Linked DNA regions of Canis lupus familiaris. The protein of the gene in region 2 purifies or fractionates together with the protein of the main gene of each other region. This does not show direct contact. Links are inferred from orthologs where the notes say so. Each region holds a gene or a part of one and is shown on either strand. Other genes may lie near its edges.

What was found.
Region 1: the proteins of SSRP1 (region 2) and SAP18 fractionate together in Homo sapiens (co-fractionation; 3 studies listed by BioGRID and IntAct, with this or other methods). This does not show direct contact. The link is inferred for Canis lupus familiaris from reciprocal best matches to the Homo sapiens genes SSRP1 and SAP18.
Region 3: the proteins of SSRP1 (region 2) and H2AX purify together in Homo sapiens (affinity purification with mass spectrometry; 4 studies listed by BioGRID and IntAct, counting the BioPlex papers as one, with this or other methods). This does not show direct contact. The link is inferred for Canis lupus familiaris from reciprocal best matches to the Homo sapiens genes SSRP1 and H2AX.

The regions. Positions count from the first base shown.
Region 1 is NC_049246.1:17,090,510-17,094,260, reverse strand, and holds the start of SAP18 (histone deacetylase complex subunit SAP18), read left to right. Parts: upstream 1-1,381; 5' UTR 1,382-1,431; coding exon 1,432-1,560; intron 1,561-1,743; coding exon 1,744-1,853; intron 1,854-3,751. UniProt on the Homo sapiens protein: Component of the SIN3-repressing complex. Enhances the ability of SIN3-HDAC1-mediated transcriptional repression. When tethered to the promoter, it can direct the formation of a repressive complex to core histone proteins.
Region 2 is NC_049239.1:39,269,602-39,273,352, forward strand, and holds the start of SSRP1 (FACT complex subunit SSRP1), read left to right. Parts: upstream 1-887; 5' UTR 888-1,021; intron 1,022-1,180; exon of another isoform or gene 1,181-1,413; intron 1,414-1,515; 5' UTR 1,516-1,597; coding exon 1,598-1,651; intron 1,652-2,583; coding exon 2,584-2,769; intron 2,770-3,321; coding exon 3,322-3,427; intron 3,428-3,685; coding exon 3,686-3,751. UniProt on the Homo sapiens protein: Component of the FACT complex, a general chromatin factor that acts to reorganize nucleosomes. The FACT complex is involved in multiple processes that require DNA as a template such as mRNA elongation, DNA replication and DNA repair.
Region 3 is NC_049226.1:14,790,794-14,793,060, forward strand, and holds H2AX (histone H2AX), read left to right. Parts: upstream 1-1,005; 5' UTR 1,006-1,108; coding exon 1,109-1,540; 3' UTR 1,541-1,697; downstream 1,698-2,267. UniProt on the Homo sapiens protein: Variant histone H2A which replaces conventional H2A in a subset of nucleosomes. Nucleosomes wrap and compact DNA into chromatin, limiting DNA accessibility to the cellular machineries which require DNA as a template.

The DNA.
Region 1 (3,751 bases), on a different chromosome or scaffold from region 2:
CTTTCACCACGAGTATTAGAAAATGCCCATCAGTCCACCAACAAATGTCAAATTTTTGCTTTGTTAGTGAGTGTAGTTTGTTACAAACCAATCACTATGTTTTTTTTTTTTTTTTTAAGATTTTATTTATTCATGAGAGACACACACACAGAGAGAGAGAGAGAGAGGCAGAGACACAGGCAGAGGGAGAAGCAGGCTCCATGCAGGGAGCCCGACGGGGGACTCGATCCAGGGTCTCCAGGATCACAACCTGGGCTGAAGGCGGCGCTAAACTACTGGGCCACCGCGGCTGCCCAATACATTTTATTTTTTTAAATTACACTTCAGTGTTTGGGGTACAAGTAAATACATGGCATAGTAATTTTTAAAAGATTTTTTATTATTTATTTATTCATGAAAGACAGAGAGAGAAGCAGAGACACAGGCAGAGGGAGAAGCAGGCTCCATGCAGGGATCCCGACTTGGACTTGATCCCGGGTCTCCAGGATCACGCCCCGGGCTGAAGGCGGCGCTAAACGGCTGAGCCACCCGGGCTGCCCGGCTCTATGGTTTTCATGCAATCTCTGACTAGTAAGGAGCTTGAGCATCTCATGGTTATTAGCCATGTGGGTTTCTTCATTTTAAAAGCACTTTTCGGTTATTTTACCCATCTTCCATTGGGTTGTCTGTTCTTTAATAAAAGCTATGGGACACTAGCTTTTGTCAATCACCTGCATCATGGAAATTTTTTACCACTCTGTGGTTTTTCTTTCTTGATGATGTATTTTAAGGTCAGGCCTCGTGGCTTTACTTTTTTTTCGATTTAAATCTCGTCAGGTTCACCGATCTCTGGCTCCACGCCTTTTGTATCACGTATCCCAACGCACTGATCCTGAAGCGCGTTCACGCTACGCCACAAAGTTCTCGTCCTGCTGTTCACACGCGGGTCCCTGGCCCACCGCGTGCGGAGGCGCCCGTCACCCTCCCGCGGTACAGACGGCTGACGATTTCGCGAGCACACACTGCAGCACCGTCTTCCCCTCCATTTCGCAGCCTCTTCCGTCTTCCCTCTGGCGTCCGGTTCCCATCCAGGTCTTCCTTTATTCCAGAGTTTGATGCTCCGCTGACTCACTGATCCCCTGTACCACTCTCGAGTCCTTCGTTTGCGAACATTCACTACGCGGGAACAATGCCCCGCCGGCTTGTTTGTCCCGCGAACAACTGGCGGTCACTTCCTCAGCCTCCGAACACCCACAGCGACACGATCCCTCAGAAACCCCGCCCCGCGGACGCCAACGCCCGCCTTTTTCCTGAGGACGCAACACGCAGGCGTGGCCGGGCCCGGGCTCACGCGCCGCACAACGAACTGCGCCTGCGCCAGCAAACGCCCCGCCCCTCCTCCCCGGTCCTCTATAAAGCCTCGAGCTTCTCCTCGCGAGAGACTCCGTTCTCATGCTCGCTGCGGGGGTCGGAGGTCAGAGCGAGCGTCTCGCGGGCCGTAGGAGGAAGATGGCGGTGGAGTCGCGCGTTACCCAGGAGGAAATTAAGAAGGAGCCGGAGAAACCGATCGATCGGGAGAAAGTATGGGATCCGGAGAGAGGTGGAGGTGGGCCCGGCGGGGCGGAGAGCGCGGCCTGCGTGCAGGAAGCGGCAGTGTTTGCTCCCCGGGCTGTAAGAGGCCGCGACGCCTCCGGAGGGAAAGGGAGCCCCGGACCCGAGCCGCTTTCTTTAACTTCTGCCCTCCTTTTCCTCCTCTGCTCCCAGACGTGCCCGCTGCTGCTGCGTGTTTTCACCACCAATAACGGCCGCCACCACCGAATGGACGAGTTTTCCCGCGGAAACGTGCCGTCCAGCGAGCTCCAGATCTACACTTGGTGAGAGCGCGGGGTCCGCGGGGGCGGGACCCGGGGGGTGGTCGGGCATTAACACAGTAATTCCCTCCGTGGCTCCGCTTCCTCCCCTTCCGGGTCCTTGGGCCCGGCTCTCAGAAAGTTGGAAGTTTTAGTTGTTAGGTAAAAGGGGATTCTCCCATCTTGTAATACAATTAAGCTTCATGTTCAAACTTTTGGGTTGTGAAGAACTGACGCACCCAGGATTGCTATCACTGTTGTGGCTGCTTGGTATAAAAATACACGTAGATAAATAAAATGCAGTAGCTGCCCTGAAGGGGCCCGTAGTCAACTAAATGGTACTAGAATTACATAGTAAAGTAAATCCTCAAGAGCATTTCTGTGAAATATTAAGCCTTCAATGCTATAGTATTAAAAAAGGAAATCAGCAAAAACCCAACTGATTTCTGATCTGGTGCTTAATGGAAAAGCTTTTAATGTGTGTTTCGTGAAGACCTGCCCCTGAATGTTTATGTGTACCTTCTCTACCCCTAAGTCTTTCTTAGGGCCATTACATGTTGTAAGCATATTTTTAGAGCTGCATATGTTTCCTTAGTTTGACATCATAATGGCTGTGTAGTAGCAGTAAAAAGTTAAGTGTTAAATATATATCTTTATTATATAACGTTAAATTTGCTATTATAATTCTTAAATGTATGATTCAGTTGCATCAGTTATATTCGCATTGTGCAACTATTACCTATTACCAAAACTTTTTCCCCCTCCTTGGCAGAAGTTACCCAGTAAGCAGTAATTTTCCATTCCTTTCTTCCCCGATAGACTCTAATCTAGTTTATATCTATATGAATTTGCCCAGTCTAGGTATTTCACACAAGTGTTGTGTTTGGCTTATTTCAGTGTGACATTTACAAGGTTCATCCATGTTGTAGCACATTCTTTTTTATGTGCACACAACTTCATTTTTTTTTTATGGCTTAATATTTTAATGTATGGATATACCACGTTTTGTCTGTCCACTTTTCTGTTGATAGGTACTTGAGTTTCCATTTTTTTGGCTTTTGTGAATAATGTTGCTATGAACCTGGGTATGCACATATCGTTTGAATCCTTTTGGGTATATTCCCAGAAATAGGATTGCTGGATCATAACATTATTACATGTTTAACTTTTTAAGGAATAAGGAAATAACAAGCTGGTTTTCACAGCAGCTGCACCATTTTACAGCCCCAGAGAGTGTGTAATTTTAAACTGTGAGTCCAGCACTCACTCCTTTAAAGACTGGGACCGTAATTGTCTTTGTGTTGGTATTGGTTAAAGTTATGTAATATGATTTTAGTTCAGCATCATTCCAGGATAAAAGCTCCAGGAAGGTTGATTTAACTTACAAGAAAGAACTGTTACTAATGTATTGATGAAAACTCTGTTCGGGATTGAAGTGTATACTTCTCCAGGCATCAGAGTTCTATTTGCTAGGTGCTGTGCTTAGATTTTGAGGGTATGAAGTAAAGAAGGTACTGCCCCTCCACGCAGTCAGCTCAGCCTACTGGAGAAAGCAGATGAATAAATGCTAATTAGGTAAGACTTAAGGGTGAAGATAGCAGAGTGAGATTGTTCCAAAGATCCTTTACTCCTAATCCAGAAAAAAAATTACGTAAAAATTCTGCCCAAAACTGTCCTATCCCTAAACTGCAACCAAATAAGGAAAAGCAACTTATGTTATACCTTAAAATGATGGTCAAAGACAAAAATTCTGAAAGACTTGTGGTTGGTGTGACAGCACAGAGTCCTGCCCCCTTTTCCAGAAACAGTACTGAAGGAAGATTAGTTAACAAATCTTGGGAATTCTCAATTTGTAGAAGTAGACTGTAGGACTGAATAGGCAGCCCTAAGATAAGTCTAAGAAAAAGGAGTGAAGTCCAGAG
Region 2 (3,751 bases):
TTTCTACCATCCACGCTGCTGTGGGGACCCCCCTCTGCCATCCACGCCGGTGTGTGGGGACCCCCCCTGCCATCCACGCTGGTGCGGGCACCGGGGACGCCCCCCACCCACACTGGTGCGGGGCCCCCCTCTACCATCCACGCTGCTGTGGGGACCCCCCTCTGCCATCCACGCCAGTGCGGGGACCCCCCTGCCATCCACGCTGATGCGGGGACCCCCCTGCCATCCACGCTGATGCGGGGAACCCCCCCCTCTGCCATCCACACTGATGCGGGGACCCCCTCTGCCATCCACTTCGGTGCGGGGACCCCCCCCGCCATCCACACTGATGCGGGGACCCCCCGCCATCCACTTCGGTGCGGGCACCGGGTCCCCCCCTGCCATCCGGCAGGTCTGACCGTGACCCCCCCCCGCCCCCGCCCCGCCCCCCGCGGACCCCGCCGGCCACCACCCCTACATGGACTGCGGGCTTCGGGAGGGAAGTTTTGGGTGCGGACAGAGAAGCCCTTTCAAAGAGCATCCGGTGCCGTGTGGCGGGAGGACGGGGCAGTCACTGCGACACCGACACCGCGGCCCCCTGCTCCCCAGGACCGTCCCGGGCGGGACGCGGGAAAGGCGCACGCAGGCGTCCGCGGGAGGTCAGACGGGAGACAAGTGCACGGCTTCTCCCCAGGACCCCGTCCTCCCCTCAACAGGTGTGACTTTTAAAGAAGGAGCCCTACGCGCCGGCACCTCCGCCTCGGGGTCCCCGCAGGGTGCACCGCACGCGGCCCCCCCCAGGTCCTCCAGGCCGGCTGGCGCTCTAGGCGGCCGCCTCGCAGGCGGGCCGGGCTCGCGTCTCTCTAGCTCGCTCGCTCTCTCTATGGTCCCTGCACCGCTTCCGGTGGCGGGCCTCGGGGCCGCGCACGCGGGAAAACCTTCCCGAGCGTCCCCCCGACCCCCTGTCCCCGCCCCCCCTCCCGCGTCCCCCAGCGCGCCCACCGCCCGCACCTGGGCCGTCGCGAGGCTGCCGCTCGAGGAGGTGGGTGGTCGCCGCCGCGTGCCCCGGGAGGCTGCGGGCCTCGCTCCCCCCCGCGGGCCGCCCGTGATGGGCCGTTCCGCGTTCGAATCCACGGGCGGCGGGCGAATCCATTTTAGGGGGCGGGGGGGGGCTTGGGCCCGGGGCCGCGGCGCGGCGGGAGCGCCGGGAGGGAAGCCTTGCCCTCGGAGCCGGGTCGCGAGCCGCAGAGGTGCAGCCCCCGGGGTTCCGCTGCTCGTTGCCATGGCGCCCGCTGGAGCGCCCCGAGCCGGCGTCTGGTCCCGCTGTAAGCGCGACTCCGGGCCGGGTTCCCCAGCCGCGGCTGGGCCTGGCTCCTGGAGGTTTGCAGGGCCTGCCGTGGGGTCCCTGGGAGACGAGATCCGGACACATCCCAGGTGCAGCCGGGCCTTGCCACCTGGCTCCATCCACGGGCTCAGGGAGGTGCTGCCTTTGATGTTTGTCTACCCACTCTCCCACCCCCCCCTTCTTGAATTCAGATTCCCAACCTGCTGAGTATCTGCACACCCACCCAGGAGTTGGGGCCCAGCTCCCAGTTGAGGCCAACAGGGGCTGATCAGAATGGCGGAAACACTGGAGTTCAACGACGTCTATCAGGAGGTGAAAGGCTCCATGGTAAGAAGGGCTTGGGCTTTTCGATAGGCTGAGAGATGGAAGGAGAGTAGGCTTTTTATCCATTATCCATGATGCTGCTATTTTGGAAAAGGAGTCCGAGTGGAATGTGTAGTTGGGTGTTTTCCCCAACAAAAGGCAATGCCTGCAGATCTCCCTACCGGGTCCAGTGGGGTCACGTGGCCAAAAACCCGTTGTAAGTCGAAAATACTGTTTGAGCAAAAAAAAAAAAAAAAAAAAAATCACAGTAATGTTTCTAACCCGATGAACAGGGCAGGTTAGTCTTACCCACTTTAAACAGGCCCAGAGTGTTTACGTTGGCGTGCGCTTCGGCGCAACCATCACAAGGTTTATTTTATGATTGAGTTTGGACACCTCATGTGGTTTATGAAATACCATCCTGAGAGTGAAACAGAATGAGTAGGGAATGGTTGGGTATCGGTTGTGGCCTGGTGGTGATCAACCCGGGTGACTGTGTGGCTGGCTGGGAGCTATGGTTCACTACCACTGCACCAGCGTCCTGAGGGGATTATATACCACCTGCTGCTAGCTCAGGAAAAGATACAGATTCAAATTATGGTTTCTGTTCGTTGCATATCGTTTCCACACCGTCATAAAGTTGAAAGGTTGTAAGTTGAGCCACCGTTATTCAAAAAGCATCTGTGTAGGAGTTAGAGGATTGCAGACTTTGAAAGGGACCGTCGTCGTGCGCTCCATTCCCCACTGCAGACTAAGGACCTGGTTACCAGGGTTTGGTTTTAGGATCCAGATTTCCAGGTTACTTTTTTTCTTCTTTCTGACCCTCACCCTTGCCAGCTGTTGGTCCTGTATCTGGATCTGGCCAGCCCGGTGTAGGTAGGTGTTGGGTGGGACTGTCTGTGCCCCGGACACAGTGTGTATTGTACCCTTGCATTTGGGCCTGTTTTTTCCAACAGAACGATGGTCGGCTAAGGTTGAGCCGCCAGGGTATCATCTTCAAGAACAGTAAGACGGGCAAAGTGGATAACATCCAGGCTGGGGAGCTGACGGAAGGCATCTGGCGCCGAGTCGCCCTGGGCCATGGACTTAAACTGCTTACAAAGAATGGCCACGTCTACAAGTATGACGGCTTCCGAGAATCGGTGAGGTGTCCTGTGGCCATAAACCCCCGTTTACTGTGCCACGTTGTTTATTTTTAATCTAGAAAGAGTTGGGGCTCCTTTGATGGCCGTGTAATTGCTAATTTTGGCTCCTTAGAGCAGGGCCATTGCGGCCATGAAGCACGGTTCAGCTTTGGATGTCTTGTGCTTTGACTCCAGAAGATTTTCTGTTATTGTGATGTTTTGGTGGTTTCTGCTCATTGCCTTTATCCAGATTCAGAGTCTTGGTACTTTAGTTTGAGTTTTTTTGTTTTAATGTTTCGACATGTTTGAGTTAAAGACAGTACTGCATTTGAATTTCACTTTCATCAAAGCACTGCCCACACAAAGTCAGAGAGCACGGTGAGGCACATAACCAGGAATGTCATTTCCATACTTTCCTCCTCCCCTGCTCTGACATCCAGTCCCCAGCAACAGCTTCTTTCAACAGTGGGTTTGCTGAAGGTATATCGGGGCAGTTTGTCAGAGAGAATCCCAGAATGTGTTAAGGCCACTGGGGCTTACAGGGATTGCTCTCTCCCCCTCTGCCCACAGGAGTTTGAGAAACTCTCTGATTTCTTCAAAACTCACTATCGCCTTGAGCTGATGGAGAAGGACCTCTGTGTGAAAGGCTGGAACTGGGGAACTGTGAAGTTTGGTGGTGAGTCCTGGGTAGACTGAAGTTTTCAGGAGAAGGTTGGATGAAGAGTTTCAGCCTTTACCTTGTTATGCTCTTTTTGTGCTACTGTTTCTGATTTCCTGTCAGTTTGTAACTCATCGCCTAGTTACTGAGGACTGGTAGCAGATGAGGCCTGGTCTTGCGGGTGCAGTGTGACCAAATAGCCCAGTGTCTGGCGGGAGCATTGTTTTTGCAGACTTGAGGGAAGAAACTTGTGGTCGCTAAGCCCTTTCCCCGCAGGACAGCTGCTCTCCTTTGACATCGGTGACCAGCCGGTCTTCGAGATACCGCTCAGCAATGTGTCCC
Region 3 (2,267 bases), on a different chromosome or scaffold from region 2:
GACTGTTGATTGGACTTTGCCTGTGGCTTTCTTCAACTTGCTGCTCTCCCTCTCTATCCCATCCCTGCGGCCTCCCAAAGTGGGATACTGTGCTTTTTATGCAGTTATCCACCACTCGGACTCTCGAGGAATATGTTGGGCCTGGGGATAGAACCCTGGCTGGGGAGAGGGACACAGGCTCGAAGATCACTTGATTATTTGACCATAAATTAAGTATTCTGATTCGTAAGAGCAGATTGGGGGGCCAGGTGCTCCCAGTGGTGACAATAAAGTGTTGTCTTTTTCTTGGTGTTCCTGTAAGTATATTTTGGGCATTTTAGGGTAGATCGGGAGGATTGGTGGAGGTACCTCCTCCAAGAGGATGCCTATCCCTCTGCCCATCTTTTTTCTTTCAGCACAGTGGGCTCCTTGTAACAAGAAGTCAACAGAAAGAACAGACCAAATAGAACATGTTGAATAAGCCCTGAAATCCTCATACTTCAGGTGGCAGGGAGAGCCCTAAGATTGGACTTGCCTGTTCTCTGGTGCCGAACAGAAGTTTTTAGGGGGAGCAGCGGGAGGGGTTCCCATTTCTTCCCTCTCTCATTTCCCTCTGCAGGATGGGAGGAGGGAGAAAGGAGAGAAGAATGACCAGACCAGGAAGGGAAGGGAGTGGTGTCGACCCCGTTCCTTTAAAAATCCCGGGCCCGCACCGGTTTCCCAGAGGCCCTCGAGGTGGCCCAGACTCCACCCTCTTTGCCTTCCGGTTCTGGGCTCCAGCTGTAGCGTTTAAATCTGGCGCCCTTCGCAAGGATTGGCTACATCGGGGAGGGGTTGGCCGGCTGCGTGCTACCACTCCTCCTCGCCTTTTTCCCCGGGCAAAAGGTTTTCAAATCGGACCAATCGGCGGGCGCGCTGCCTCGGCCGTGGCGCGTCACTGAAGGGTTAACTGCAACCAACCGGAGGCGGGTACCCGAGGAGAGAGCCAATCAGGAGGGCGCGGAGGTGTGCCCTGGGGGCTTATAAGGCCGGCCCCTGGGCGCGCGCGGCAGCAGTTGGACTGCGGCGGGCGGCTGTTCGTTGCCCCCTTCGAGGCGTCCCTCTTCACAGCTCTTCTACCTCGCGCAGCATGTCGGGCCGCGGCAAGACCGGCGGCAAGGCCCGCGCCAAGGCCAAGTCGCGCTCGTCGCGCGCCGGCCTCCAGTTCCCCGTGGGCCGCGTGCACCGGCTGCTGCGGAAGGGCCACTACGCCGAGCGGGTGGGCGCCGGCGCGCCGGTGTACCTGGCGGCCGTGCTCGAGTACCTGACGGCCGAGATCCTGGAGCTGGCGGGCAACGCGGCCCGCGACAACAAGAAGACGCGCATCATCCCCCGCCACCTGCAGCTGGCCATCCGCAACGACGAGGAGCTCAACAAGCTGCTGGGCGGCGTGACGATCGCGCAGGGAGGCGTCCTGCCCAACATCCAGGCCGTGCTGCTGCCCAAGAAGACCAGCGCCACCGTGGGGCCGAAGGCGCCTGCGGGCGGCAAGAAGGCCACGCAGGCCTCTCAGGAGTACTGAGGGGCGCCCGCGCCGCAGCCGGCCCCCATGCCACCACAAAGGCCCTTTTAAGGGCCACCACCGCCCTCACGGAAAGAGCTGAGCCACGTCGGGCTCGGGGCGGGCGGCCGCGGCGCTCGGCTCCCCCCCGCCGCGTCGTCACCGCCGCCGCCGCCGCCCGGCCCGCCCCTCCCCCGCGCGGGCTCGCCTGCCCTCGCTCCCGCCGCCTCCCGGCCGGAGGGCCGCCCGCTCGCCCGGCGCAGGGGCCCGGAGGGGGCCGGGGGCGCGCCGCTGCCCGCCGCGGCGCCAGTGACTCAGCCGCCCGGGCCGCGCTGAGGGCCGCGGGGAGGGCCGCGGGGAGGCCGCGGCGCCGCCTGGAAGAGCCGCTCGGCGCGCTGACGCAGGGCTGAGGTACGCGCCGGGGCCGGGCCGGGCCGGGACTCTCCGGACGCCGCGGTGCGGGGACGACCCGTCACTGTCCGCCCTGCCGCCCCCTCGGCTCGGGCCGAACGCGTCCGCGGGGACCTGCCACCAGGGGGGGAGGGGCGGTGCGCCCCGCGGGCCCCGGGACTGCAGGAGGCGCGCGCCCGCGAACCCCGCCGCCCGGCCCGCTCTCTCCGGCGACCGCTCCGCGGGCCTCGCACCTCCGTACCAGCACCGGCCCGACCGTCCCCATCTGCACTGAGCCTCCGACAGCTTCGGAACTGGAATTTTGCAGCTATCCCCATCCAAGACTAGGACCCTACAG